Linked DNA regions of Ovis aries. Each later gene encodes a partner of the first gene's protein in a complex. Links are inferred from orthologs where the notes say so. Each region holds a gene or a part of one and is shown in the gene's direction. Other genes may lie near its edges. The genes, in order: MED25, MED19, MED13L, MED31, MED23, MED16 and MED8.

Region 1 (4,286 bases):
AATAAAACAATTGTAAAAAGACATTTTGTGAGAACTGGGAAAATTTGATTATGGATTTAAGTGTTCGACAATACCAAGAAGTAAGAATTTTGTTAGAGATGTTAATGGCATAGTGGTTACCTGCAACTTTGGGGAGATGCCTATCCAGCAGGTAGAGGTAAAATGATACGATGTTGGGATTTGCTTTACAAGCGTTCAGCAAAGAAAATAAAAGGATCAATAAAGTACATGAGACAAAACAGTGATACTGCTGAGTGCAAAGCAATGCACCCTTTTACCTTGAAATATATTGACAAACTGCATTGGAGCAAGCTGTTTTGGTTTTCATCTCCACTAGATCACGTCTGAGCCTGCTCATTTCACCCAAACCTTCCCACCGTCATGGACTTATTTTTCCAGCATTAATTAACATGACAAAGATAAACTGACTTATCATTGGACCCTGTGTTAGCACTTACTAACTTGTGCATATGAGCGACTTTCAGTATGTTTTTGCGTACAGGAAAAACCTGCTTAGTTTCCTCCCCAATTAAAAAAAAAAAGTATTTCTGTTTTCCTAAGTTTGTATTGATCAGTAATACGTATTTGGGTAGTAAATTTCTGTCAACACATGTTACAGTGACTTCCGCAGTTTACCGTATCGTTTTCAGCTTGGTTTATGAAGTCTTCTGCGGACAAACAGCTCAATATTTTCCGTGCTCTGGCTTTGCTGTAATGATAAGAAACTCTTCCCCAGTCTTCAGGATTATACAGTGTTATGGTTTCATTTGTTATATTTACATTTTTAATCCACCTGGAATGTATTCATGTTCTAGGCCAGTTTCTGGCTCTTCTCCCAGAAAACAACTATCAGGTGTTGCTTAGCAACCTCCACTCGGGTTAGAGTTCGGCTTCTTTTAGTGGGGAAAAAACAGCTGCACTCCTTTCAGAGTTGATTGCCACCTTAAAGCGTTGCCTAGTAACCCCGTTTTAGACGTTGTGATTGGACCCTTCACACGACCCACCCACCCCCATCCCCCAAGAACCAGTAAGAACTTAACTAGAAACCTAATCTGTCTTTTTAGGAAAACAAGGGCAGCGTATGCGTTGCATAGCAACCAGGTCTCCCGGCCCTTCCATTGAAACCGGTGTCGGAAAGGTCGCCCCCCCCTCAAAAATGGCGTCTGACGCGCCGCTTTCAGTATATTTCGCCCTCGAAAGTTCTGCAAATAATTCAAGCTTCCACCTCTGGTCCCCGAAGGAGTTCTCTAGGTCCTTTTTGAGTCTTGCACACACTGGGAGCGAAGGAGGATGGAGATAAACCCACCCGCCCCGGGCGCCCCGCACAAACATGGCCGCCAGCGCGCCGCCAGCGCCGAGAGGCCGTCCCGCGCGGGGGCGCGCGCGGCGCAGGCGCACTTCCGCTCAGCCCGCGGTGTCTGAGGCGGCGGCGGCAGCGGCGGTGGCGGCGGTGGCGGCGACGGCGGCATCTGCGGCGCGGGGCATGGTCCCCGGGTCGGAGGGCCCGGCCCGCGCCGGGGGCCTCGTGGCTGACGTGGTGTTTGTAATTGAGGGCACGGCCAATCTGGGGCCCTACTTCGAGGGGCTCCGCAAGCACTACCTGCTCCCGGCCATAGAGTGAGTGCCGTTTCCGCGGCCCCAACCCCGCCCTCCGAGTTTAGTTTTCCACACTCTCTCCTCACCCCGACCTTTCACTTCCGACCCTCACAGGTATTTTAATGGCGGCCCTCCTGCCGAGACGGACTTCGGCGGAGACGTGAGTCTTGGAACTCTCGAGTTTGAGGGAAGATGGGAGTCCGGACTGGGTCTGCGGGAGGAGGGGGCGGTACCTGAACCCTGGGCCCGAGGTGGGAGGGCTCGGGTCCGGACTCCGGGGTCGGAGGCGGGAGGGGCTGGGGTTTGGACACCTGGGTCCGAGGGGCTGGGGTCGGGATTTGCGGGTCCGAGCGGGGAGGAGCTGGGGTCTGGACTCTGGTTTCCAGGAGAATGGGGCTCGGGTTCTGGGGCTGAGGGAGGAGGGACTGGGGTCCGGACTAATGGGTCCGAGAGGGGAGGAGGCTCAGGTCTTGGGTCCGAGGCGGGAAGGGCTCGGGTCCTGGGTCTGAGGTGGGAGTACCGGGGTCCGGACCCCCGGGTCCGAGGGAGGAGGGGCTGGGAGCTCCGATTCCCCTGAGGGAAAAAGGAGCTGGGTCCCAGATGAAAAGTTCTCCTGTCCTCCCCTCCCAGTATGGGGGCACCCAGTACAGCCTCGTGGTGTTCAACACGGTGGACTGCGCTCCAGAGTCCTACGTACAATGTCACGCTCCCACCAGCAGCGCCTATGAGTTTGTCACCTGGCTCGATGGCATTAAGTGAGCTCTTTTCTCGGCTTCCGGAAGGGTTGGGGGAACCTGGGAGGGACGGCAGAGGAATGGTGCTGCCGGATCCAGCCCCTCACATTGGTTGCTAAAAAGGGCTGCGATGGGGGTTGTGGTTTTGTCCCTAGGTCACTTCAGTGGTCGGTTCTGTATGCTCAGCTGGTGTTGCTGTCTGGCTTGGAAGTAGAAAGAATTTCCTGGTCAAGGAGGCCTGGGGAAGTCCAGCACCCGTCCTACTCCTCATATATTATTCTCCTTTCTGTCTGTTGCTTCTCTTGTCTACTCTAGCCCTTCTTTTTCCTACTAGGGGCACTGAAGCTTGAGCGCAAGAGGGGTGGGGCTAAGCCTCTGTGCTTTGGAGTCAATGTTGATAGTTCACACTGCAGGTGCAGACAGCCTGGGGCCACTTTTCAGCTCTACCACAACAGGACTGCCAGACCCACGAGTCCCTGTCCTCTGTGTCTAATAGAACTCATCTCTAAAAGGGGAACGGTAATAGTACTTATAGTCATCCTGTTACTTATCCAGTGTTGGGAAAACAGATTAAAGCTTAGTGACTTGGAAATTCTCTGATGGTCCAGCAGTTGGGACTCTGTGCTTCCACTGCAAGGGACATGGGTCTGATCCTTGGTGGGGAAACTAAGATCCCACATGCTGAGGGGCACAGCCAAAAAAAAAAAAAAAAATTAATTTAGTGGCTTGTTTCCTTAAGTAAGGAATTCAGGGGTGGCTTTGATGGATGGTTCTCACTCACGGTCTCTTGTGGGATTTCAGTCAGATGAGCTGGGACCGCAGTCATCCAACTGTTGGATCGGGACCAGAGGATCCATTTCCAAGGTGGCTAACCCTGTGGCTGTTGGCCAGAGGCCAACTTGCTAGCTGTTCCTTGCTAGCTGTTATTCCTAAGATATCTCTCCATGGGGCTGCTTGAGTGTCCTCCCAACATGGCAGTTGGCCTTCCTCAGCCTGAGCAATCCAACAGAAAGAGCAGAAGGAGACTACAAAGATTTTTATAATCAAATCTTAGAAGTCACACCATCATTTGTGTCACATTCTGTTTAGTATACAAGTCAGTTCTGTTCAGTGTTGGAGGGGGCATGAATACCAGGAGATGGTGCTCAGTGGAGATCTAGTTCCGGTGACACTATAGGGGACTTTGGGAATCAAACGAGTTGATGACTGTTGAGAACAGTGCCTGACACGATTAAGCGCTCCCTCAGCTTTTGCTGTTCTTTTGTGTTTTGGTTTCTTGGTCTGCAGAGGGATAACGGTAGTCCATATCAGCACTCAGAGAAGGGTCACAGAAGCTAATCTTCATACTGTGTTCAGCTCAGGGTCTGGTCAGAGTCCATTAAACAACCGGATTCGTGGGCTGCTGTTATCTGCAGCAAATGTTTGTTGAACACTTGGTTTGTTTCAGGCTTCACGTGCTAGACCAGGCACTGCACATTCACTTTCCCCCCTTATGGTTGTTAGAATTCATGGTCAGGGCAGAGCAGGGTTTCTCAACCTCAGCACTGTTGACCCTTTGGGCCAGATGATTATTGTATGTGTGTTGTGGAGGGGTGGGGGGCATTCCTGTGTGTTGTAAGGAGTTCAGTAGCATCCTTGGCTCCTTCCCCCCCAATGCCAGTGGTCTCCTCCCTCCCCAGTGTGATAAACAATAAAAACAAAGATGTCTCCAGACATTGTCAGATGTCCCTTTGGGGACAGAATCCGCCCCAGTCGAGAACCTCTGGAACAGATTGTGGTGAGACTTGAATAATGTGGAATGGGGGCTCCTTGAGGTTCAAGTCCAAGTCTGATGTCCCTCAAGTTTCTAGCACCCAGCACAGGGCCTGGCATGAAAGAGCCCCAAGGAAAACTTTGTGGAACAAGCGAATGAACGAATGTCCAGAACGCCCTTCATGCTCTGGTTCTCCCTGGTAA
Region 2 (4,321 bases), on another chromosome or scaffold:
CAGTAGAGGGCGAGAGCTTCAACTTATTTTACATTTTTTTTTCCCCTTAAAGCATGCAGAATCTTAGTTCCCTGACCAGGGATGGAACCCAGGCCCCCTGCAAAGGCAGTGCAGTCTTAACCCCTGGACCACCAGGGAAGCCCCTCAAGTTATTTTTCTGAGTGGTCCCTCCATTCCAGTTCAGGGAGAACTCCAAGAGGCTTGAGACAGATTTCTTTACAGCGTTTTTTTCTTTTTTTTTTTTTTTACAATTCCATTTCCATAGGCCTAACAATTTTATTTATTTTTACATCCCCAGTATGCGGCACACAGCCCAGCACACAGTCCGCCCTGAGAGACTGTTAACTTGATTTTAAGAAATGGCTGTGTGCTGTTACCGTGGCTAAAGAGTGGCTGCAAATCCTCGTCGCTCACTAGTTGTGTGACCTTGGACGAGTCTCCTAACTACGCCAAGATCCGTTTCTTCATCAATAAAACGAGAATACTACAAATACTACTCGCCTTGTACAACTCACTGGTTCTTTATTAACGAGCAACACTGGAAGAGAGTGCGAGGGCCCAGTCTGGGGAAGACTCTGGTCGAGCATGGATTGGGAGGTGGGAAGGAGCTTGGCCTCAAAAGGCAGAAGGCTGAGACTGCTGGGCGAGCTAACCGGCTGCTTTCTCACCCTAAACAAGAGGAGGGTTAGGCTCGGTAACAATCCACGCCCTACACTCTTAGCAGTCTGTCAAGTCCGCTAAGAGGCCCGGAACCTGAGGCGTTCTCAAAACGGTCCCTCGGGGCTCCCGGCTGCGACCACCAGGGCGGGGACAGTCAAGGTCGTGGGGTCCCGAGGAGGGTCGCTCACCCAGTCAAAGTCACACGGGTTGCCGTCTTCGCGTTGCGTGGGGAGACTTTCGCAGACAGGGGGCAGCTTCCTGACGAGTAGGAAGGCAGCAGAGAGCAGGGCTGACAAAAAGTAGTAAGGTCGAGCCAGCCATCGTGAAAGTCGCGGGACTGAATACACGAGAGCAATCAAAGGCGCTAGGACCGCCATCTTCTCGGCCCCCTGAGGCACCGGCCGCTCTCTTCGGCTTCCGTAGGTCTGGTCCCGCCTCTCTCACCATTGAAGGTTTCCATTGGGCCAAGTGTCAGATGGCCCGCCTCTAGACCCGGAGCTAGATCTCTGATTGGCCCTCTACGGCAGGTAAGGGAGGTGAGAGAGGGATTTGATATGCTATTGGCTAACCTAGCTGTCGCTTTTACTACCTAAGTCATTTCATTGGTTAAGCGATTGCTGCGAGCGGAGGCCTCGGAAAATTTAATAATGTTAAGGAGTATTTCCTGAACGTTCTCAGAAGGCGACGGAAGTCGTTGCCGGAAGAAGGTAGGCAGGGCCAGAGGCAGTCCAATGGTAAACGACTCCTGGAGGAAAAGGGCGGTACCCCGTGAAAAGATTAACCAATGAGAATCATTAACGCCAGACACCGGGACGGCGCCGGGGCAGAGGGGACGATGGAGAATTTCACGGCGCTGTTCGGGGCCCAGGCTGACCCGCCACCTCCCCCAGCGGCACTCGGCTTCGGACCCGGAAAGCCGCCCCCCCCGCCGCCACCGCCTCCGGGCGGGGGGCCCGGCCCGGCCCCGCCCCCGACCGCCGCTTCGGCCCCTCCCGGGAGCGACAAGTCGGCGGCAGGCTGCGGCCCCTTCTACCTAATGAGGGAGCTGCCAGGTGAGTCCGAGGCCCGGCCGAAGCCGGCCAATCAGATCGCCGCGAGGTGGGGCTGGGCGTGGCTCCTAGATGCCGAGGGAGGTGAGGGGAAGCCCGGGCGGCGCGTGCGGGGATTTCGGAGCTCCGTGTCGGAAACGACTGCGAATTCAAGGCCAAAGGCACGACAGGAATCCTCAGGATGGACTGGGAATGAGAAGAATGGGTCTCTGTGGCCGCCTTTCACGCTCCGCCCTGTCTCTGAAGCTGATGGTGGTTTTATGATTCCCTAAAAGTTACTCCCTGGAGGTTCAGACGGTGAAGAATCCGCCTGCAATGCGGCAGACCTGGGTTTGAGCCCTCAGGTGGGAAGAACCCTGGAGAAGGGAAAGGCTACCCACTGCAGTATCCCTGCTTGGAAAATTCCGTGGACGGAAGAGCCTGGAGGGCTACAGTCGATGGGGTCGCAGAGTCGGACACGACTGAGTGGCTAACTGAAAAAGCACCCAGGGTTCAAGTTTGGAATTTGAGAGTCCTTATTTAACATCCTTGCGGACCTAGTTCCAAATCTGCTTCCGACTTCCTGTTGGTTTGTTGCCTTTCTTTTTTCTCTGGGCCTGGGCCTTTCCTCATCTGTTGGAACAAGTGAATAGAATTGGACCAGACTCTTTCATTCAAAAACTTATTTCGTTGAGCACCTATTTTATGTACCAGGGGTTATTGTACACTGAAGATACAACTGTGAATAAGGCTGACAAGATCCTTGCCTGTTTGGGAATTTACGTGCCCATGGAGGAGGCAAAAGGTAACAGGGTGAAATCACAAAGCAGTTACGGCTGTAGGAAAAAAAAATGTGATAAGATTTAAGGGAGCTGAACTGCTTTAGCTAGAGTGATCAGAGAAGCTCTTTCTGAGTAGGTTACTTTAGAGTTAAAATGTAAGCGCAGAGAAAGAGCTAGCCATTTATGAGTGGGAGAAGGAATAACTGGATACAAAAAAAATGAAATCAACAGCCCCAATGTGAGAAAAATCTTGTAATGTTTGAGGAACAGAAGATCAGCTGGACTCCAGTGAAGTGAACAGAGGAGTGATAGATAAAGTGAGAGTGTAGGCAGAGGCCTGTGTTAGACATTTAGATTTTAACATATTATTGACCAGAAACATGTCAATACCTTTTTTAGAGAGTGAAACCATTAACATCACCGTGGGAAGTTGTTAAAGCTTAAAATTGATCAAGGATTCATCATACAGCTTATCATTGACATTATCATTCACATTTTGCTCTGTTAGGTTTTTATTCCAACCTTGTGTACCTTATAAACACAAGTTTATTTTCATAAAATTTTAAAAAGTGACACACCATGCAGTTTTGAATGAAGAAAATTTTTTCAGTGAATTTTATGCAGATACTTTCTCTTATTGTCCGAGCAGCACCTAGTGCTGCAGCCCACGGGGTCGCTAAGAGTCGGACACTACCGCGTGACTTCACTTTCACTTTCATGCATCGGAGAAGGAAATGGCAACCCACTCCAGTGTTCTTGCCTGGAGAATCCCAGGGACGGGGGAGCCTGGTGGGCTGCCGTGTATGGGGTCGCACAGAGTCGGACACGACTGAAGCGACTTAGCAGCAGCAGCAGCAGATGATAGTTGTTCCGAATGTAGTTCTGATTCAGATGATGTGACTATTAGACCAACAAAGAGACAGAAAACCTTAGTGATTGTTTTCTGATACGGAAAGTGAAAATGAAACTCATGGTGCTGGAGAAGACTTTACAGGTGTGTCAGCTGTAACTATTGAATGTAATAATGCAAAGTGGTAGTGAAATAGCTGAATTAATTATTGCGTTAGTTTCTACAAAAATCCCCCTTTCAATAATGTTACTGCTTAGTGGTCCAGGAAAGAGGTGGTTTAGACTAGGCGATAGCAATGGAGGAAAGAAGTAAATGGATGCAGGATAAATGTTAGAGGTAGAACTGACAGGAATGAAGGATTGAATATAGAAGTGGAGGAGAGAGGAATTGAGGGTGATTTCGAATTTTTGGCTTGAATAACAGGATTGATGGTAGTGCTGAGGTCAGGCAAGAACAAGTTTGAGGAGGTGGAAACCGGGAGTCATTTTAGACATACATGTTAGTCTCAGGGACATCTTTCAGTTCATCCCACGTCCATAGCTTTGACTGTATGGACCTTTATCGGCAAAATGATGTCTCTACTTTTTTAAAATGCTGTCTAGGTTTATCATAGCTTTCCATTCAAGAAGTAAGCATCTTTTAATCCCATGGCTGCAGTCACTGTCTGCAGTGATTTTGGAGCCCAAGAAAATAGAGTCTGTCACTGCCACCACTTTTTCGCCTTTTATTTGCCATGAAGTGATGGGACCTGATGCCATGATCTTAGTTTTCTGAATGTTGAGTTTTAAGCCAACTTTTCCACTCTCTTTCACCCTCATCAAGAGGCTCCAAAGTTCCTCTTCACTTTCTGCTATTAGAGTGGTGTCATCTATCTGAGGTTGTTGCTCTTTATCCCAGCAATCTTGATTCCAGCTAGTGATGTTTCAGTAGGATGTTTATACCTTCAACGACAAATGCAAGTTGAAGGAATTTGAGCTTTTTCCTGAGGGAATGGGAAACCA
Region 3 (3,625 bases), on another chromosome or scaffold:
GTCATCTTTGGATATGAAGAATAGCATGTTTTATTGCAGATGAGATGTGGGTTCTAAATTCAGATGCTGAAAGTACCAGACAGATCGTGTAAACAAATGATGTAGAGAGCTAGCTTTGCAAAAAAGCAGTGTCCTTCCACAATATCCTATTTTGTATGCATAGGAATACAGTTCACAAAGAATTGCCTCTGCTTTTATTTTTCTTTAACCTGTAACTCTCTTGGTCTGTTATTTTCCTGCATTGGATAGAACCATGGGTACAAGAAGTACTTTACTTTTTTCTTTACTGTAAGAAGAAAAGCAGCACAGGCTTGAAGATAAAGGAGGTAAATTCTGCTTCAGTCTCAGGCAGGCAGCAGAGGCAGGGGTGTCAAAAACTGCCTGAAGGAGGCAGTTCCTCGACTCCAAGTGGTGGTCCTCTGGCAGTGCAGTGGTCTCAGCCCCACGGTTGTCAGACCGTTTTCTAGTTTTTCAAGAGAAGCTGGAAATCCAGATTTGTGTATGAAATTTCATGAGAAGTCTGTTTCAGATTGAAAAATGAAAACAAAACCTCTGTGCCATGGATTTGCAACCTGTGTTTGATTTGAGGGTGCACCTGAGAATGTCTTCAGACCCTTCAGTACCGTGTGTCCCAGGCTTAGTTGGTAAATAGGTCACAGGTTTCCATCTGTGCCGCCGTCCTCGTCGGCCGGAAAAGTAAGAGCAAGGAGAGGTCTTGAGGACCCCAGCTCTGCGGGTGCATAGCTGACCACCTCCAACTTCAGTACTTATTTCTTCAGATCTTTAAGGGAATTTGATGAGCATTATGGACCCTCTCCCCTCCCCCCCCCCCACCCCGGGAAAAAATAACACCTGTGTTCATGCATGCACGTGCAGTTTGGGGAGAGTTTCAGAGGTTTCCATGTTCAAGGTTAAGGAGTCCTCCTGCTAGCAGGAAGAATGTGAGTTCTGAAACCGTGACTCCCTAGCTGTTCTAAGCTTCTTTTTAAATTCCTTTTTCCCACTCATCATATAATCAGATAAACATTGATATTTGTGAACAAAAGTAATTAAGAAACTGGACTTCCCTGGTGATCTAGTGGTTAAGAATCCATCTACCAGTGCAGGGACAATGGCACCCCACTCTAGTCCTCTTGCCTGGAAAATCCCATGGATGGAGGAGCCTGGTGGACTGCAGTCCATGGAGTTGCTAAGAGTCGGACATGACTGTGCGACTTCACTTTCACTTTTCGCTTTCATGCATTAGAGAAGGAAATGGCAACCCACTCCAGTGTTCTTGCCTGGAGAATCCCAGGGACGAGGGAGCCTGGTGGGCTGCCGTCTATGGGGTCACACAGAGTCAGACACGACTGAAGCGACTTAGCAGCAGCAGCAGCAGGGACTCGGGTTTGATCTGACCTGCCATGGGGCCACTAGGCCGGTGCGCCACACCTGCTGAGCCTGTCCTCGGAGCCTGCAGGCCGCAACAAGAGAAGCCACTGCAGAGAGAATCCCCACACTGCAACTAGAGGGCAGCCGCCTCCTGTTCAGGGCAGCAAGAAACCTGCGCACAGCAACAGAGACCCAGCATAGCCATACAGAAATAAATGATTTTTTGAAAAGTAAGAAACTAAAAGTAATTATGAAGCAATCATTAAGAAATTTTTGCAGCTCTCTATTCTTGTGAATACCCTTGGAAACAGGTCTCTATGGTTTTAAAAAGTCAGACGTATTCACCTTTCCACTATTAGGCAGTTCTATAGTTAGCCCCTTTTATTATTTCCAATGATAATAAAATTTATTATTTACTAAGTATCTTAGAGTCTGCCGCAAGTAGACTCTACTGCTAGTGACGTCTCCGTCACGGCCTGTCGCTGAGGTCGTGCAGCCTGCCTTGACGGGTCCTGTCCTGTGCTGTCATTTTTCTTGCAGTGCTGGACATCAGCATGCTGTCCTCCCAGGACGTGGTCCGTACGCTGCTGTCCCTGCAGCCCTTTCTCCAGGACGCCATCCAGAAGAAGCGCACGGGCAGGACCTGGGAGAACATCCAGCACGTGCAGGGGCCACTCACCTGGCAGCAGTTCCACAAGATGGCGGGCCGGGGGACCTACGGTAGGCCTCTCTCCCTTCCCACGTCCTTCTGGACTTTCTCTTCCGTGAGAAGAGCAGCTCTAGTTACTGTCAAGTCTTCCTTCGCTGACAAGATAGAATCTGTTCCCTCCTGACTACTACATTTTATAATCTCTCTGTTTTCCAATAGTCAGTTTTGAAGATAATTTTTCTTAATGTCTTTGGCATAATCAAGGTCAGTGGGGCAAATAATGCCTCACTAGACTATTTGCTAGAATCTCCTCATCCTCCCAGTCCTCACTGCCGTTTCATCTGGATGAGCCTCTGAACTAATTCTGTCAACTTCTTTGTAGTCAGGACCATAGTGTCTGTCTCAGAGGAAGGTAGATAGTTTTGTTTGGAGAACTAACACTAACCTGCTCTAGTCTGTACTCACTGAACCTTTATAAGCATGTTCTGACTCATTTAATTAAAGTTCTTCATCAGGGGCCATTTAATTAGAGGATTTGAAGACTACTTTTACGAGTATCATGTCAGCCTACAATAAAATGTCCGATGCCAGAATTAAGACAAATTGCCAGAGAATTCGCAGTTGTGGAGGTGGTGGGAAACGGACTCACAAGAGCTTTCCTAAACTGCAGTCTTGTTTTAGGTTCTGAAGAGTCTCCTGAGCCACTGCCCATCCCCACCCTGCTGGTCGGCTACGACAAGGACTTCCTCACCATCTCGCCATTCTCCTTGCCGTTTTGGGAGAGGCTGTTGTTGGACCCATATGGGGGCCACCGTGATGTTGCCTATATTGTGGTGTGTCCAGAAAACGAGGCCTTGCTCGAAGGAGCCAAAACTTTCTTCAGGGACTTGAGCGCTGTATATGAGGTGAGAAAGACACGAGAGGTGAGAGTCGTCTGTATGATGCAGGGCCTCAGGTTGCATCTAGTTGTGGCTAAATTTTAAAGGATAAATATCTTCAAAATAGATCGCCAGGAAAATTTGCACATAGTTGGAGGATGAAGAAAAGGATAAGTTGGCAAGTTTTTCAGGAAGTACATTGTTTTCCCATCATAGCTTTATATTTTATTAGATTGAAAAGATTTTCCTCTACCACCCTTACTAACACATCTTAAAATCCAGTCAGCTGTTTTTTCCCCCATTTATGTGCTTGAGTTTAAAAGGACTACTCACCAGGGGATAGTAATTGTTCAGAATGAAAAGAAAGTGCATCTACTCTTGGGGGTGGGGGGAGTTCCTGAAAACAGTATAAAAGTGTTTAGCTGGAAAATTCCTGAGTCACACAGAAGTTTAATGACTCATGTCCCTGTTATATTTTATTTAAACATCTTAATACTCATTTTGATACAGATGAATAATGTAATAATCCTAGTAATGTTAGATAATTTTGTATATTTAGTATATAAAGTCCTGTTACTTTTGAAAAATTAGAATCATATCTGTCTTTAAAGAGTTAGTGTACATTTCTGCTAAAGTACATATACACTAAAGTTTTTGTACCTTATACTCCTAATTAATCTTCATATTTGAGAGAAAATGAAATTAGTGTTTATAAAGTGTTTGGAGC
Region 4 (4,332 bases), on another chromosome or scaffold:
CTTGATTGTTGAGGTCGACCTTCACTTTTCCCTTTGAACTACATGTGACCTCTATTAAAACCTGTGTGTATGGCTACCAGGCACAAAGACTTGGCATAAAGAGAAATATATTGAAACATAAACACAAGCCAAGTAATTAATTAAGGAAAGTCTGTTGCTTGCAACTCAGGTTTGCAGCTGGCATATAATTCCACTGATTATGATTTGTTTGCTCCTTGTCCCTAAGTTTGAAGCAGCCAAGGTCATTCAGTGAGTGAGTGATAGTCGCTGAGTTGTGTCGAGGTCTCTGTGACCCCATGGATTGTAGCCTGCCAGGCTCCTCTGTCCATGGAATTCTCCAGGCAAGAATACTGGAGTGGGTAGCCATTTCCTTCTCCAGGTTTGAAGCAGCCAAGGTTATTTAAAGGGCCCCCAATTCAAAACTCACCTGCCTTGGAGGCTCAAACAGTCTCTTTTCCATCAGCTTAACACATACAGTATCTAGAGCCTAAAAACTTTTTATGCTGGCTTCAAATTAAAATAGTTCACTGGGTCAAAGGCTTGCCTTTGGTCCAAGGTGCAGGAGGGTCAATGAATGTTGGCTAAATCCCGAAACCGCAGCTTGGCTCTTTCTTAAATTGATCTGTGGACTGTTTCCAGGAAACCAAAGATGATCGGTCCACCTGGCAGCAGGCAGGCTGCGAACTGGAGGCGATTCTGCCCTGGCCAAGGGCCATGGCCCCCTCGTGGCCCCGAGGAAGGCAGCATTTCATCGGGCCTTTTGGATGTTATGGCGGGCGGCTGGCTTCTCCCGCCGCGGCGTGCTCTCCACGCGGTGCACAGACGTCTCCACCCGCAGGGACGAGGCCCTGACGTGGCGGGAAGCCGTCTCTGTGAGCTGCGAGGCGGTTTCCACGTGCTGGGAGGACACCTCGAGGACTCGAGGGAGCCGCTTCCCAGAGGAGGAGACGGAGGGTCCCTCGCTGCTGCGCTGGGTGGTCTCCACCTGCCGGGAAGATGTCCTCACGTGACGGTAGGATGTCTCCACGCGGTGGGACGAGGTCTCCACGCTGACCGTCGCCGTCTCCTCGGAGCGGATGGATTCCGCCCGGGCCGGAGAGGGCTTTCCCCGAAGGGGTGAGGCCATCTTATGGGGGTAACAGGGCCAAGCTGACCTTTGGAGGCCCCACAGCCCCACAATCCCCGAAGGATTATTTTATACGGTGAGGAGCGACGTCACATGCCATTGTGATGCAGGCAGAGCGGTGGTCGAGGGTCCCGCGAACCACGTGGAGGCACCGTGATCTTGGGGCGGGGAGGCCTAAGATTCCTTGGGAACGCTGGGTTCGTCCCCTCGAGAGCGCCGTCTGCCCCCGCATCGCCCCTTAGCCTGTCAAGAACCTGTCCGGGTGGAGGCGGGGTTGGGGCGGGGCGGGCCCTGGATGGGCGGAGCCACCCGCCCCCTTGCGAAGCTGTGCCCACCCCCGCATCCCACACTGCCCCGCGGCAGGAAGGGGACGCTGCGACTTCCGGACCTTCCCTGTTTCTCCGATCCTGGCTGTGTGGGGTTGCTGGGGACTTAAGAGTGTCTGCTGGTGATGGCCGCGGCCGTCGCTATGGAGACAGGTGAGTAGCGCTCTGAGCCTCGCGTTTTGTCAAATAGAAACTGTCCCGGGTCCAGACACCTGCTTCCCGGGATTTTTTGAGAATCCAGGCCCAACTCCCGGCAGAGTGAGTGATCGGAGCGGGAGGCACCAGGGTTTTTTTTTAGCGACTGGAAGGGCGAAGGTAATTTGGCCTTTTCAGAGTTTGTTTTGTTGGCCGATCCTTTCTCCCCGTTAGTTATTCAAACAGTGGCCCCACCGGCTTCCAGAAGACTAAAGGAGAGATTTTGGATCATAAACCGCTTCCTCGAGTTGTTTTTTTGCATCTCAGATGAGCTTGCCTAAGTTTAAAATATCGTCAGCGAACTCTTGTATTACTGTGCCACTAACGGGTCTCACGTAAGCACGCGTTTCTTGATACTCACCAGGGTCTCTTTCATCTTGCATTCTGAACGTCTCTTGATGGATTTAGCATTTTGTTTTTGCTAAGCTTGATCACTTAACAGCTTGTAACGCACTATCAAAATAAGGCAAGGCACATTGCTGCAGCTTATCCTAGTGATCACTGTGAAGTCCCAACATGGTGGCTCACGAGTGATTAATGTTCTGCTCCATGTATAATCTTGTTTTCTTTGATAATTTAACTTTAGATAAACCTTTTTTTTTTTTTTTTTTTCTTAATCAGGGCTTTGCTTTCCTTAGACTTATAAGGAAGGTGTTTCTCCTCCTACACCCAGTTTAGGAAAACCTTTGCATGCTCTTCTTTATGTAACTCAGCATTAGTCAGATGTCTGTACTGCTGTTTTCTGTCTAAAAATCAGTATTATATACAGTGACATTTATTTTGGATGATTTTGCTATCTTCTCTCCTAGATGATGCTGGAAATCGACTGCGGTTTCAGTTGGAGTTGGAATTTGTACAGTGTTTAGCCAACCCAAATTACCTTAACTGTAAGTTGTTGAGCACCTCATTGAAGTGAATAGCTAGTTACGATTTCTGATAGAAGAGTCAAAATTCATAGTACTGTCAGCCCTTTGTATCCTTGGAGGCAACCTCAGTTGGTGGAATCTGCCCATCCTGAGGGTGACAATACTGTCATGGCACTATGTTGTTTTGTACAGGAGATTGGAGCACCTGTGGATTCTCGTGTCTGCGGGGCCTCTTAGAACCAACTCCCTGTGGATTCTGAGAGATGACTTTAGTATCTAGTTTTGTACATTCTTAACTGAATGGAATGACTGTTGCACTTATACTGGTATATATAATTGAGCAAACTGGGACTTCTGTTTTGAATTCAGTGTGTGTTGGTGGTGGGAATGTTATGTAAGTAAATTCTTTACGATTATGTTAGTCACAGATCAGTAGTCCAAGGACTGGTGTGCTCTACAGATGTATTTTTTTTTTTTTTTTTATGCCTTTCAGTTCTTGCCCAAAGAGGTTACTTCAAAGATAAAGCTTTTGTTAATTATCTTAAGTACTTGCTTTACTGGAAAGAACCAGAATATGCCAAGTATCTAAAGTAAGTTTAATTTTTATAGTCCTAAACATGTGTGTACTTTTATTATATTCCAAAGCACTGATATTTAATAGACTTCTTACTTTCACGTTGGAAAAAATACCTGTTGAATCTCTGCTCTCCTTTCAGTTGCCTCCATTTTAATACGAGACACATCATCTCTAACTTAACTGGGATTACTGCAGTATCTACTCATTGGTATTCCTCCTTTCTCCCTGCCCTGCCAAACAAAGAAGAAACATTTTCTGCACAGAAGCCAACTTGGTCTCTTAAAAATAGAAATTACATTCCATTAGAACCCTTTGGTCGCTTCCCATTGCATGCAGAAGAAAATCTCGTCTCTTAGCCCTGTGTGATCTGTCCCTGTCTTCTCTGACCTTATCTTGTACCACTCCCTGCATCTCACTGAGTTTCTGACCTCAAGGAACCCGCAGTCCATATATGCAATGACAGCCATAGCCTGAAAATGAAAAAACATAGAAAGAGGTACTTACTTGTAAGCAAGGGTTTCTGGAGAAGGTAACCGTACCCGAGTCTTAATAGCTGCTTTCTTATTTTATATATCTTACATAATAAATACATGAATTTATCATTCAGGTTGTGCAATAGATACTCTCGTTTTAAGGCTTACTGAAATGCAAGGAGCATATTGTAATCACAAACATTTCTTTTTAATGATAAAAAATAAGCCTTGAACACCCACCTCTGCTTTGTCTTAAATAGGTAGTCAAAAAGCAGTGGTGAAATGTCTAGCCTTTTTTTTCCCCTAAACAGACACAAGTTTGAGAGGAGAATGTTTAAGACTTGTACTTTGGCCAAGCCACTTTTCTCTGTCTAATAACAGCTGCTTTATGAAGTCCACATCCTCCTTTTGCCTGTGGGACCCTTTCCACCCTTACTGGCCCTTTATAAAAGAACCACTTATTCATTTAATAATCCAGAGAAAATATATATATTTTTTTACTAGATTGCAACATGTTATATGTATGTATTATAGACTTAGAGACTCAGTGTTGGACACTGAGCCCTGGACACCGTCAGGTTCAATTTTACCCACAACATTGCTGAGATGGTCATCTGTATACTGGCTGGAGGTTTCTAGTGAACACATACTAATTCAGGGGCAGCCAATTCCGTTGTTAGCTAGATTCCAGAAAGTTCCTCCTTGTATTATTGTGTCCGACTCTTTGCAACCCCATAGATTGTAGCCTACCGGGCTCCTCTGTCCATGG
Region 5 (3,625 bases), on another chromosome or scaffold:
TGTCACAGTAATAAGAACCCACTTATAGAAGACCAGTCATTGATACCTGTGGCTGATCACATGGTTGCTATCAACACATGTCAGATTTATTTGTATTCAGTTTGTATTATTTGCCTCTTAAGCTCTCCAATAAATCACTTATTGAGGGCTCATAATCAGATATATTGATAATCAAATGAAATATTTACATATTGAACCTTTGAAAACTATAAAGCACTATACAAACAGGAGCCTTTAATCTCAGAATTATCAACCAGTTATTGCTTTAATCGTCTGCACCGATGGCTGGCAAATCTCCTGGTCCATTCCCAAACTGTGACTGGAGGTTCAATGAGTTTCCCAACCCCGCTGCCCACGCACTGCATGTTACTTGTGTGGAACTCATGGCCTTGGCTGTTTCTGGCCAGGATGTTGGAAATGCTCTTCTAAATGTTGTCCTGAAGAGGTGTGTATCCTGTTTCATGCCATAAGATTCAGTGTTTAAGAGAATGATATTTTATTTGGAGCTATGAGACACACCCATTGCCCCAAGGCCAGGGCACATTGAATAGTGAGTATCTTTAGGTTCCAGATCTTGTCTTAGTGATAAAGGTGACATGGAATGAGCCCTGAACAGCCAGAAAACCTGGATTTGTTCTACTCTACTCTTTATTAGCTGTTTGACATTTAACTTAGGAATAATGTTAACTTCTCCCTAAAGACAGTCTTTCAAGATTTTCTTCTTAAAGGCCAGTATAAAGTAGGGGATAATGATTGGAGAATAAATGTAAAGTAGTGAAATAGTCTTTCAGCTCAGCAACCATTGTTAAAGAAGAAAATTGAAAAAATTGAGAAGCCTTATTTAGCTTTTATTTATATTTTTACTCACTAAAAACCCATTGTAGTTTTACTGAAACAGATCAGTTGTCAGCCCCCAAATTATATATATTCTCAAAGTAAGATACAGTGGCAACCATATAAAATGTTTTTATAATTTCACCTTTTTGTTCTTTTTCCCAACTAATAGTCAGCCTTTAGTGCCAAGAGAGAACATTACAGCATGGATGAATGCCATTGGATTGATCATCACTGCGCTACCAGTAAGTTAATCATTGTGATTTAAACAAGGTCATCATGCAACTAATGAATGTTTCTTTTTTTTCACTTTATTATTACTTCTGAAATCTACAGTGCCTCTTTTGCATCAGATCTAAATAAACCTACCTGACTATGGGTCCCTACATCCCTTGGTCCCACTCCTATCCAACCTTAGTTTTCCAATTAAAATCTGATCTATTTTTGACCCCTTAACATATTATGTATCTAGATCCTTTCAGTTCAGTTCAGTTCACTCGCTCAGTCATGTCCAACTCTTTGCGACCCCATGGACTGCAGCATGCCAGGCCTGCCTATCCATCACCGACTTCTGGAGTTTACTCAAATCTCATCCTCTGGCATCCCCTTCTCCTCCTGCCTTCAATCTTTCCCAGCATCAGGGTCTTTTCAAATGAGTCAGCTCTTCGCATCAGGTGGCCAAAGTATTGGAGTTTCAGCTTCAGCATCAGTCCTTCCAATGAATATTCAGGACTAATTTCCTTTAGGATGAACTGGATGGATCTCCTTGCAGTCCAAGGGACTCTCAAGAGTCCCTTGCACCACAGTTCAAAAGCATCAATTCTTTGGTGCTCAGCTTTCTTCACACACCAACTCTCACATCCATACATGACTAATGGAAAACCATAGCCTTGACTAGATTGACCTTTGTTGGCAAAGTAATGTCTCTGTTTTTTAATATGCTGTCTAGGTTGGTCATAACTTTTCTTCCAAGGAGTAAGCATCTTTTAATTTCATGACTGCAGTAACCATCTGCGGTGATTTTGGAGTCCCAAAAAATAAAGTCAGCCACTGTTTCCACTGTTTCTCCATCTGTTTGCCATGAAGTGATGGGACCAGATGACATGATCTTTGTGTTCTGAATGTTGAGCTTTAAGCCAGCTTTTTCACTCTCCTCTTGCACTTTCATCAAGAAGCTCTTAGTTCTTCTTTACTTTCTGCCATAAGGGTGGTGTCATCTGCCTATCTGAGGTTGTTGATATTTCTCCTGGCAATCTTGATTCCAACTTATGCTTCATCCAGCCCAGTGTTTCTCATGATGTACTCTGCATATAAGCTGAATAAGCACGCTAACAATATACAGCCTTGACGTACTCCTTTTCCTATTTGGAACCAGTCTGTTGTTCCAGGTCTTTTACTAACTGTTGCTTCCTGACCTGCATACAGATTTCTCAAGAGGCAGGTCAGGTGGTCTGGTATTCCCATCTTTTTGAGAATTTTCCACAGTTTATTGTGATCCACATAGTCAAAGGCTTTGGCATAGTCAATAAAGCAGAAGTTGATGTTTTTCTCGAACTCTCTTGATTTTCGATGATCCAGCAGATGTTGGCAGTTTGATCTCCGGTTCACATATTGTTGAAGCCTGGCTTGGAGAATTTTGAGCATTACTTTTCTAGCATGTGAGATGAGTGCAATTGTGCAGTAGTTTGAGCAGTCTTTGGCATTTCCTTTCTTTGGGATTGGAATGAAAACTGACCTTTTCCAGTCCTGTGGCCACTGCTGAGTTTTCCAAATTGCTAGCATATTGAGTGAAGCACTTTAACAGCATCATCTTTTAGGATTCGAAATAGCTCAACTGGAATTCCATCACCTCCACTAGCTTTGTTCGTAATGATGCTTCCTAAGGCCCACTTGACTTCCCATTCCAGGATGTCTGGCTCTAGGTGAGTGATCACCCCATCGTGATTATCTGGGTTGTGAAGATATTTTTGGTACAGTTCTTCCGTGTATTCTTGCCATCTCTTCTTAATATCTCCTGCTTTTGTTAGGTCCATACCATTTCTGTCCTTTATTGAGATCATCTTTGCATGAAATGTTCCCTTGGTATCTCTAATTTATCCTTTCCTCCTGCAAATGATGCTTGTTGAGACATTTTTCTGGTACTTCTGCCATCTAAGAGAATATACCAGGATGCTTTTCCTTCTGTTACCTTCCCTAAAGCATACTCATTCTTTGCTAACTTAGGGCTTGCTTTTTCAGCGAAGCCTTCTATACCTTCTCCACTCATGCCGTGTCTCCCTCTGTGACCTCCACACATATCTAGTCAGTACCACACAGATGTCTGACATCTTTGAGTGTCAGTAATATTGTCTAAAGCTGTGCTTTCCAAACTTGTTTATTATGCATCTTTATGAATCACTTTTTCCTTACACTCCTCCAAAATATTTACATATTTGTGAATTGTAATTGTGTACCAGCATTACCTGTATAGTAAGTATAGATAAAGTCAATTTACCATGTAGTAAATATCAGCTATTAAGTTAACTAGACAGACTCATGTCTGGAGCACTCTTAACTCACAGACACTTCTCCCCAGGTTGTTATTGACTTAATTTGACTCATTGTGAAGCCACCAAGCTGGATAAATAGAAAACATTAAAGAATGAGAAAGTGCTATTATTTTAGGCTTTTGAAGTAGAATACTGGATATGGAGTGGATTACTAGAGAAATGGTGTTTTTCTTCAGGCTTTTTCTTGGTTTTAAAGGAGCCATATTGGATTGTCCTTCACGATCGAATAGTGAGTGTTATCA
Region 6 (4,326 bases), on another chromosome or scaffold:
CTCTGCATAGAAGTTAAATAAGCAGGGTGACAATATACAGCCTTGACATACTCCTTTTCCTATTTGGAACCAGTCTGTTGTTCCAGGTCCCATCACCTCATGGCATATCGATGGGGAAACAATGGAAACTGTGACAGGCTTTATTTTCTTGGGCTCCAAAATCACTGCAGATGGTGACTGTAGCCATGAAATTAAAAGACTTGGGAAAAAAGCTTGACCTTGGGGAAAAAGCAATGACCAACCTAGACAGTGTATTAAAAAGCAGAGACATTATTTTGCCTACAAAAGTCAGTCTAGTCAAAGCTAGGGTTTTTCCAGTATAGATGTGAGAGTTGGACCATAAAGAAAGCTGTGCCCCGAAGAATTGATGCTTTTGAACTGTGGTGTTGAAGAAGACCCTTGAGAGTCCCTTGGACTGCATGGAGATCAAACCAGTCAATCCTAAAGGAAATCAGTCCTGAATATTCATTGGAAGGACTGATGCTGAAGCTGAAACTCCAATGCTTTGGCCACCTGATGTGAAGAACTGACTCATTGGAAAGGACCCTGATTCTCGGAAAGATTGAAGGCAGGAGAAGTGGACAACAGAAGATGAGATGGTTGGATAGTATCATCGAGTCGATGAACATGAGTTTGAGTAAGCTCAGGGAGTTGGTGATGGACAGGGAAGCGTGGCATGTTGCAGTCCATGGGGTCGCAGAGAGTCGGACACAACTGAGCGACTGAACTGAACTGAGAGGACCGGCTGGGGCTCAGGGCACGGGTGGGGGGCCCAGGGCAAGCCCACAGGCTGCCTCCAGACCCACGCGGACTCCGTCCTGTCCAGCTTCCTGGTTGGCTGTGTAGATTCTCCACACACCGCGTCCCTAGACAGCCCGGCCCCCAGACCTTTGCCCAGATGTTGCCTGCTCTCTGTCATACCCTTCCCTGCAATCAATCCTATGTCTTTCTGGAAAAGACCTTCCAGACTGGGGAGAGTCCGACAGCTTTTGGAGGAGGAATTGAGGATGGAGACTGATTCTACCGGCCCTTGATGGGTTGAGTTACCTGGCTTATAAGCGAGTTACACGTTGGCTAGACATCGTGATAAAAAGCGAAAATATGGAACGCTTCACGAATTTGCGTGTCATCCTTGCGCAGGGGCCATGCTAATCTTCTCTGTATCGTTCCAATTTTAGTATATGTGCCGCCGAAGCGAGCACAAACCACGAACAGACGCCAGAACTATTTATAGTAGACAGAACCAAATACTTTACGCTGAGGGCGAATTCTATCAAAAACCAATACAGCAATTTTCCTTTTTTTTTACTAACTTAGTGCAATAATGGCCTAATCTAAGGGGATTATTCACTTAAATTGAGAAAGTTTGTTTTTTCCATCAAATATAACGCAGATGGCTGTTGGAAAGGCACGATTGTATGCAAATTACCCCGGAAGCGGGGCGGAGCCACTGAGGTCCCAGAAGTCTCCGGGAAGCAGCCGGGCTGCGCGGGAGACTCGTTGGTCCTGGGAAGATGGCGGCGCCGGAGCCGGGGCGTTAGAGCGAATGCAGACGGCAGCCTCCTTCTCGGTGGGCGTACAGGCTGGTCCAGTGAGTGTGGGGCTGGGGGCTTGGGCAGTCGGCCAGCCTCCGGATGGCGCCGACGCTGCTGGGATTATGGGTCGGAGCAGGGCCTGTGGAGTCAGAGGGCGGTCCTGGAGAGCAGAGGGTGCTGGGTACGCTCCCTGAGGGCTCTGGGCGTGGTCTGGGGGGTCGTGGCGGAAATTTGGGGTGACCTGAGGCTCCCTGCGTTGGGCGGTGTAAAACCGGGGAGGGCCTAAGGTTGTACCTCCCCGGGGAGGGCCTGGGATGCATTTGAGGCGGGGCTTAGGGACTGTCGGGTGGGTTGGGGCGGGTCCTGGGTGGCCAGGTGGCCAGGTGTGTGGAGGAGGGGCTTTGGGATTGTTTTGGCGACTTTGGAATAAAAACAGAAGTTTAGGCCGGGCCTGGGGACGCCAGGGACAAATTGAGAGTGAGGTCTGGAAGGCACATTTTGTAGGGGCGGGGCCGGAGGGCTTTGGGGGCAGAGCTTAAAATGACTGTTGGTTGGGCTTGTGGGCGGGGTGTCAGTGTTCTGGGGCGGGGCTTTAAGAAGCAGCGGGTAATGTGATTGGGAAGGTGAAAGGAAATAACCTTAGTCGCGGCTGGGTGCAAAGAGCCTGCTGAGCAAGCTTTCACTGACCCTTTCTGTACCCCTGGAAGCCAGGCCCCAAGTTGCTGCCTAACCCCCACCCTGCCTCCCTACCTCTGTCTAAGGCAGCCTCACTGGTTCTCCTGTGTCCTCCTTAAGAATAGACCTGGGTGCTACCTCTTGTCGCAGCTTTCACTGTCCCCGTCACTGTACACCTGGACCAGCGCCACCATCCATTCCCCAGCCGTGCCCTTCAGACAGCCAGAGGGGCCTGTGAAACAGAAACAGGCTTCTTGGGGCTCCCATCTTCCTCCTGGTAAAACCCCCAGGCCCTGCAAGACCTGCCTCATCCCCTCCCCAACCTTACCTTGCTTCTCGCCCCCACTCACTCTGTTCCTGCTCTGCAGGCCTGGATACTGCTTGAGCATCCCAGGCTCAGTCAAGCCTCTGGGCCTTTGCACTGGCTGTTCTCTCCTCTTGGCATGCTCTTCCTCCCAGCTGCATGGATTGATCCCTGGCCATGCTTGTGTAAAACGCAGTTCCCTGGCCACACACAGGGCAGGGGTTGAGTCCACTTTGTCCCCCGTGGTAACCAGCATCCACCACCGCACTCGGGGCCCTGCAGGCACCCTGTGAAGATGGATGACAAGCCTGTCTTCCCTCCTGTAGGAGCTGGTGACCGTCCTCCCTGTGTGACCTTGGCAATTGGGCACCATGGACCTGGCTTACATCTGTGAGTGGGAGAAATGGCCCAAGAGCACCCACTGCCCATCCGGTCCCCTTGCCTGCACCTGGTCCTGCCGCAACCTCATCGCCTTCACCACGGACCTGCGCAGCGATGACCAGGGTGTGCCACCCCCATCCCAGGCCCCCTCATAGGGCCCTCCCCCCAGCTCCCATGGGGTTTCCTCCTCTGAGACAGGGGTGCTGAGGGGCACAGAGATAACCTTGAGGAATGGCCGTGTCTGCAGGGCTGGGGGAGAGGGGGTGGTGGCCACTTATGGCTTGCTGAAGCTCCTGCAGGAGTTTTCCAGCTGCACGTGTTGCCACCAGCTTTGCGGTGCACTCTGCCGCAGGGCAGATATTCTTCCCACCACAGAGCAATATGCACTTCTTAGAGGAAATTAGGAAAACGTGAAACTTTAGGATGAGGAGAACCCTAACCTTTCATGGAGAGACACCCGCTGTTAGTGTTTTGGGTCCATTTTTGAAAGCACAGTTGTAACCTCACAGAAGGCCATGGGTCTCCCCTTGGGCTGCCTGTGTATAAATCATGTTTCTGGAGTCCCTGCAGCCTGGCTTTAACGCTTCCTGATAGGCTTTGACAGCCCAATCCCCTGGGGTGGTCGGGCACCAGGCCGTGGTTGCCACACTGACCTCACTGTCCCTCGCAGACCTGACCCGCATGATCCACATCCTGGACACTGAGCATCCCTGGGACGTGCACTCCATCCGCTCAGAGCACAGCGAGGCCATCACCTGCCTGGAGTGGGACCAGTCTGGTGAGGGCAGCCTTCCACCCTGAATGCCAGGGCTGCCTGCTCTGTCTTCCTGGCCTTAGCCCTAGGCTCAGAGCTGGGACTTGAAACCCTGACCTGTGCCTTTGAGGCTTCTGCTCTTCTCGCCCCTGTTTCTGAACTCACCTGTGCTGGTCCCTTGCTCTACGACTTCTACATTCCGGCCCCCCCACCCTGATGGACGGCGGGGATGGGGCTTGTGATGCAGATTTGCCCAATCTCCCACCTTCCCCTCAGGCTCTCGTCTGCTGTCAGCTGATGCTGATGGGCAGATCAAGTGCTGGAGCATGGCTGACCACCTGGCCAACAGCTGGGAGAGCCCCGTGGGCAGCGTGGTGGAAGGGGACCCCATCGTGGCCTTGTCCTGGCTGCACAACGGTGTAAAACTGGCCCTGCATGTGGAAAAGGTGGGTGTCCTGCCTGGGGGAGCAGGCCTCAAGCCCAGGGAGGGCTTGGCTCCTCCTCTCATGGTGCCAGGTTGTCACACCTGCCACCCAGTTGTCAGCATCTGTGTTGCTAGCATCTCCCACGTGGTTTGACGTGGTGACAGCCCTTGGTTCCTGTCTGTACCCCACGGTTCAGCCCAGTGTCTCCCTGAGAGGGGAGCCTCCTGGGTCAGGGTGCTGAGGTCAGTCCCC
Region 7 (4,326 bases), on another chromosome or scaffold:
AAACATGCTCCAAATTCCTTGAGTATTCCTCAGTAATGGTATTTCTGATGCCTAGGCTACTCCACCAGCCCTGTGAGCACATTTGATCCTTTTTAATAGGGTAGTTTCCTACAGTTGTATTTAATCTTGGATCTCATTACATCAAATCCTAGCACTGGAGATTTACCATCCTGTGGCTACTTTCTCTTTGCACTGTAAACATTATGGCTAAGAACACAAGATCACAAGGGACCACCTGTTTTGGAGTCCTGGCTCTGCCACTTACTAGCTGTGCAACTTTGTTACTCTTAAAACCTCTGTGCCTCAGTTTCCTCAACTGAAAAATGGGGATAAGTGTCTACTGTGTAGGGTTGAGAGTAATCTTTGACATTGGTAAAGCGCTAAGATGGTCTCTGGGACACAGTAAGCATTCGATAGGTAAGGATTCAATACATGATTATACACCTCTCACCCTTCCCATCCACTCACATGTTCTCCTGTAACATTGGGCAACTCTCCTAGTGATGTTTTCTTTCCAAATCTGACATTTTAGACTTCTAATTACAAAACTCTGCCACTCCCCAGCTGAGAGTAGCACTTGGGTAAGGTACTTCACTTCCCTCGATTTTTAGTTTGTCTGTATATGGAAATGGGTATTGTCACCTTCCTTGCACAAGTCTGAACCACACAATGTATACAAAAGTTCCTTGCATGGTCCTTCGTACTTAATGGATGCTTCATTTGCATTTTCCCATTTAAAACGTGTGATCCTCACAATAGACCTGAAGATAGATATTTTACAAAGAAGGAAACAGGATCCGGGAAGTCAAGATTTGCCCAAAGTTGCACAGATAGCTACAGGGCAGCGCCAATACCAGAACGAGGTTTCACTCTGAATCCAACGTTTTTTCATGAAATCTAAGCTGCTCTCCAATTGCATGAGCGCTAGAACCTAATTAATTTATGCTGTTTATGGCATTCCAATAATATTTGAATGAGGCAGCAACCGGCAAACCTGCCCACTGAAACTGCAACAGAAGATCAAAATACAGATTTTCTGAATGCCATTACGAGGTCAAAGAACCCAAGAGCCCTAGAGTAGAGAATCGTGGATTAAATTTCGGCAAACAAAACTGAGCCACGAATTCCTCCTCTAGGCCTCCCCGAGGAAAGTAGGGGTGAGGAGATGCTACTATTGGGCCTTCAGGAGGGCCAGGCGGCCCCCAGACCCGGAGGAGGCCACGGCCGCGCCTGGCCGCCGGACCCTCCCCCTCGGATCTACAGGCCCAGCGCTGCGCCCGCCCGCCCCTCACCTCCGGCTCCGGGCGCTCCGAGGCCATCACACAGCCCTCCCGCGCCGGCCCGGGCCAGAGAAGATGCTCCGCTCCTGACCCCTGACCCGGAGGTCTCGCGACTGGCGGGGCCGGAAGTGAGTGGGAGGGTCGAGTTCTGAGCTTTCTAATTGGCCTACTTGGGAACCGGAAGAGGAAGTGATTGACACCGCCCCCCGCCGCAGCAATGCAGGTGAGGACCGGTTTGGCGCTAGCGACGGGTAGCTAGCTTGGGGTAACGAGACAGAAAGTGGGCTGGCCGAGGAGAGAGTGAGGAGTTAGGGATGAGAGGACTTGGTCGAGACCGCGACTGTGAGATAAAGGGACGCGCGATGGGGACGAGGACCTCTGGAGAGGGATAGGGGTGGAGCCCGGCTGACAGGAGACAGAAACTGCGGTTAGGTTGGGACGGAGAAGGCAGCACTGTCTTGCTAGGGTGTGGAAAAAGGATCAAGTTGTTGATAGGGTGTGGAAAAGGATCAAGTTGAAATTTGGGAAGGTGCAGTCCAAGGAAGACGGCTGAAGAAAGAGGTGGATTGGGCTCGGGCTCAGGCCCCGGCCTAGACGTTGGATGTTGACAGAACAGAGGATCTAACTGGAGAGAAGCCCGAGGGTGGAAGGAATTGTGGGACCGTGGTGGCCAGAAGCCAGACTAAATAATCTGAGGCCGTGGGTGGAACCCGGCTCGTGTCCTCCACATTCGGGGTTTTGCAGTTCTGTTTCATTCTTCCTAGTGTGTACCCCTAGTAGTTAAAGGGTGAAATGAGATAAAACTGGAGACCCCTCAGCTTTTAATATAGTTTGCCTAGTGCTTAGGGGCATGTGCGGTTTGGTTGCTGTTTTGTTTTGTTTTTCATTTGTCACTGTTTGTTGCAGAAGGGTAGTTGTCAGTACATTTTTATAGGTTGACTAAGCTTGCGAAAGGGGCACAGGAATATTGGCACAGCAATAAAGTGAGTGCAGATTGATTTAGCAAGGAGGAGGTTGAAACAGCAAATGCTGAGGGAAGAGGAAGGTGACGGTGGCAGTATTCAGAGGAGCCTTCCTGTATAGGTAGGTTTTCAGAGATTATGTCATTGCCAAGAACAGCCAGGTTCACAAGGCAGGTTCTAGAACATAGGACGTCAGAGTACGTCTGCTGCTGAGGTGTGCCGAACAGAATAAATCCCAGGCATTACGTCTGGTGAAAATTGTCCAGTGAGGGAGAACAGATACAAACCAAGCCTAATATAGAGAAACAGTCACGCCCGGATTAAAAGCGATGAGAGGAAGGAATCAGTAGGTAAGAGGAATTGAGGTCAGATGAATGGGTTTTAAGGTCTAAGGGTTGATGCTGTCTGTGATCCTAACTCCAAATAGGGGTGGAGCCCGGCTGACAGGAGACAGAAACAGCCTGACTGTCCCTGTGCCAATGAGATTCTGTGTCACTGTCCTGGTGTTGCACACTGTCACCCTGGCTTTTCAGCCTTCCTCTATATGTGTCATCCTTACACTCAGCTGAGTAACCAACCTATTCCTATTGGCTCAGAGGGAGGAAAAACAGCTTGAGGCATCATTAGATGCACTGCTGAGTCAAGTGGCTGATCTGAAGAACTCACTGGGGAGTTTCATTTACAAGCTGGAGAACGAGTATGACCGGCTGACCTGGTAAGAGTTGCCAGGGCAAGCTGGGGAGGGCTCTATGGGTGGGGGCTAGGCCACCTGCTGCACAGGGTACCTCCTCCAGCATTTATCACTTTGTGAACATCTTTTGATTTAGAAAGAGCTGGCTTTCCCAACATTTAACACTGAAGTTGGCCTTGGACCTCAACTTTAAGGGTAGTAGAGAAATGCCCAATTTCTCAACCCAGGTTCTTTCTAGCTTTTGATTCTCCCTGTTTGACTTCTCCAGGATGAGGTCCTCCTGCAGTGGGTCCTCCCACCACAGTATTCATACTGGATTTCTTGCACGGGTTTTGCCAAGTCTTTTAGGTCCAATCTAGGAAAGTTTGGATCTGGAAAGGGATCTTTCACCCGGTTTCTGAAGTTCTAGTGATAATAGTGTAGCCATCGTTCCTATTTTGCCATTGTCCTCACCCCATTCAAATGTAGTAGCTCCTCGTGATCTATCAGGGGTAAGTTCTAAGACCCACTGTGGATTCCCGAAACTATGATAGTACTGAATCCTATTCTGTATATACTGTGGGTTGTTGTTTTTTTTTTTCTATACTACTTGTGTGGGTACCGTATACGGTATGGATATGCTGGACAAAGGGGTGATCAACATCCTGGGTAGGACAGAGTGGGATGAAGCAAGATTTCATCACACTCCTCAGAACACCTCCCAATTTAAAAACATGGATTGTTTATTTCCTGGATTTATCATTTAATATTTTTGGACTGTGGTTGACACGGGTAGACGAAACCTCAGAAAGTGAAACTTAGGATAAGTGGGGATTGCTATAATGACCTGTTTTTTTTCTCCATCTGTGTCAGAAACTCAAAGTGTATCCCTCTTTCTTAACCCCATAATCCCTGCGAGCCAGTCTAGTTCCTGCCCAGGCCAGCATAGGGCTATGAGTGTTTTGGGGGTGAGTCTGGTTATTCCTAGTCCGAGGGACCCCTTTGAGGCTCCTTTACCAGGAACATGCTGACATCTTCTTACCACCACCAGGCCATCTGTCCTGGACAGCTTTGCCTTGCTTTCTGGACAGCTGAACACTCTGAACAAGGTCTTGAAGCATGAAAAGACACCACTGTTCCGCAACCAGGTCATCATCCCTCTGGTGTTGTCCCCAGACCGAGATGAAGATCTCATGGTAAGAGGAGGAGAGGGATGCAGCTTAGGAAACAAAGCCCTTAAATGAGGACTGACAGCACAGTGGTTGGTTTCTATCTAGAAATTTTGAATATGCAGTAGTGTGTGGCAATAAGTGGGGGCTACATTTTGGAGGCCTTGCTTTTTGTCCTTCTGTCCTATTTCAATCTTTGATTAAAATGTGGTAGAGAAGGGTTTATCCTTAGATCTGGTAGAGAC

What was found.
Region 2: MED25 (region 1) and MED19 share a complex: the UniProt entries of both Homo sapiens proteins name them as parts of the mediator complex. The link is inferred for Ovis aries from reciprocal best matches to the Homo sapiens genes MED25 and MED19.
Region 3: MED25 (region 1) and MED13L share a complex: the UniProt entries of both Homo sapiens proteins name them as parts of the mediator complex. The link is inferred for Ovis aries from reciprocal best matches to the Homo sapiens genes MED25 and MED13L.
Region 4: MED25 (region 1) and MED31 share a complex: the UniProt entries of both Homo sapiens proteins name them as parts of the mediator complex. The link is inferred for Ovis aries from reciprocal best matches to the Homo sapiens genes MED25 and MED31.
Region 5: MED25 (region 1) and MED23 share a complex: the UniProt entries of both Homo sapiens proteins name them as parts of the mediator complex. The link is inferred for Ovis aries from reciprocal best matches to the Homo sapiens genes MED25 and MED23.
Region 6: the proteins of MED25 (region 1) and MED16 are in contact, whole or in part, in a cryo-EM structure (PDB 7EMF), measured with the Homo sapiens proteins. The link is inferred for Ovis aries from reciprocal best matches to the Homo sapiens genes MED25 and MED16. Residues at the interface, in NP_112235.2 of Homo sapiens: Ala26, Asn27, Gly29, Pro30, Tyr31, Val74, Asp75, Cys76, Ala77, Pro78, Glu79, Val82, Cys84, His85, Pro87, Lys102, Phe103, Met104, Gly105, Gly106, Gly107, Gly108, Glu109, Thr120, Gln123, Leu124, Asp127, Phe128, Tyr151, Leu152; in NP_005472.2 of Homo sapiens: Cys41, Arg42, Ser92, Ser94, His113, Arg161, Lys163, Phe171, Gly172, Gly173, Lys174, Pro195, Gly485, Tyr486, Ala516, Ala517, Gln520, Val521, Thr524, Arg525, Ile554, Ala555, Ser558, Lys561, Ser562, Leu563, Leu564, Arg565, Pro566, His567.
Region 7: MED25 (region 1) and MED8 share a complex: the UniProt entries of both Homo sapiens proteins name them as parts of the mediator complex. The link is inferred for Ovis aries from reciprocal best matches to the Homo sapiens genes MED25 and MED8.

What each region holds. Positions count from the first base shown.
Region 1 is NC_056067.1:55,910,307-55,914,592, forward strand, and holds the start of MED25 (mediator of RNA polymerase II transcription subunit 25), read left to right. Parts: upstream 1-1,388; 5' UTR 1,389-1,483; coding exon 1,484-1,617; intron 1,618-1,710; coding exon 1,711-1,756; intron 1,757-2,226; coding exon 2,227-2,351; intron 2,352-4,286. UniProt on the Homo sapiens protein: Component of the Mediator complex, a coactivator involved in the regulated transcription of nearly all RNA polymerase II-dependent genes.
Region 2 is NC_056068.1:79,750,186-79,754,506, reverse strand, and holds the start of MED19 (mediator of RNA polymerase II transcription subunit 19), read left to right. Parts: upstream 1-1,462; 5' UTR 1,463-1,495; coding exon 1,496-1,712; intron 1,713-1,770; exon of another isoform or gene 1,771-2,393; coding exon of another isoform or gene 2,394-2,493; intron 2,494-4,321. Other genes in the region: TMX2 (thioredoxin-related transmembrane protein 2), read right to left, coding at 849-1,037. UniProt on the Homo sapiens protein: Component of the Mediator complex, a coactivator involved in the regulated transcription of nearly all RNA polymerase II-dependent genes.
Region 3 is NC_056070.1:58,903,898-58,907,522, forward strand, and holds part of MED13L (mediator of RNA polymerase II transcription subunit 13-like), read left to right. Parts: exon of another isoform or gene 1-1,911; coding exon 1,912-2,091; exon of another isoform or gene 2,092-2,701; coding exon 2,702-2,925; exon of another isoform or gene 2,926-3,625. UniProt on the Homo sapiens protein: Component of the Mediator complex, a coactivator involved in the regulated transcription of nearly all RNA polymerase II-dependent genes.
Region 4 is NC_056064.1:25,114,825-25,119,156, forward strand, and holds the start of MED31 (mediator of RNA polymerase II transcription subunit 31), read left to right. Parts: upstream 1-1,510; 5' UTR 1,511-1,577; coding exon 1,578-1,605; intron 1,606-2,456; coding exon 2,457-2,534; intron 2,535-3,006; coding exon 3,007-3,103; intron 3,104-4,332. Other genes in the region: C11H17orf100 (uncharacterized protein C17orf100 homolog), read right to left, coding at 749-1,126. UniProt on the Homo sapiens protein: Component of the Mediator complex, a coactivator involved in the regulated transcription of nearly all RNA polymerase II-dependent genes.
Region 5 is NC_056061.1:57,013,188-57,016,812, reverse strand, and holds part of MED23 (mediator of RNA polymerase II transcription subunit 23), read left to right. Parts: intron 1-279; coding exon 280-445; intron 446-1,006; coding exon 1,007-1,079; intron 1,080-3,559; coding exon of another isoform or gene 3,560-3,577; exon of another isoform or gene 3,578-3,579; coding exon 3,580-3,625. UniProt on the Homo sapiens protein: Required for transcriptional activation subsequent to the assembly of the pre-initiation complex. Component of the Mediator complex, a coactivator involved in the regulated transcription of nearly all RNA polymerase II-dependent genes.
Region 6 is NC_056058.1:41,109,563-41,113,888, reverse strand, and holds the start of MED16 (mediator of RNA polymerase II transcription subunit 16), read left to right. Parts: upstream 1-1,486; 5' UTR 1,487-1,591; intron 1,592-2,360; 5' UTR 2,361-2,487; intron 2,488-2,840; 5' UTR 2,841-2,885; coding exon 2,886-3,018; intron 3,019-3,565; coding exon 3,566-3,673; intron 3,674-3,925; coding exon 3,926-4,095; intron 4,096-4,326. UniProt on the Homo sapiens protein: Component of the Mediator complex, a coactivator involved in the regulated transcription of nearly all RNA polymerase II-dependent genes.
Region 7 is NC_056054.1:18,067,104-18,071,429, reverse strand, and holds the start of MED8 (mediator of RNA polymerase II transcription subunit 8), read left to right. Parts: upstream 1-1,475; 5' UTR 1,476-1,497; coding exon 1,498-1,503; exon of another isoform or gene 1,504-2,592; intron 2,593-2,838; coding exon 2,839-2,957; intron 2,958-3,963; coding exon 3,964-4,108; intron 4,109-4,326. Other genes in the region: KICSTOR complex protein SZT2, read right to left, coding at 1,293-1,319. UniProt on the Homo sapiens protein: Component of the Mediator complex, a coactivator involved in the regulated transcription of nearly all RNA polymerase II-dependent genes.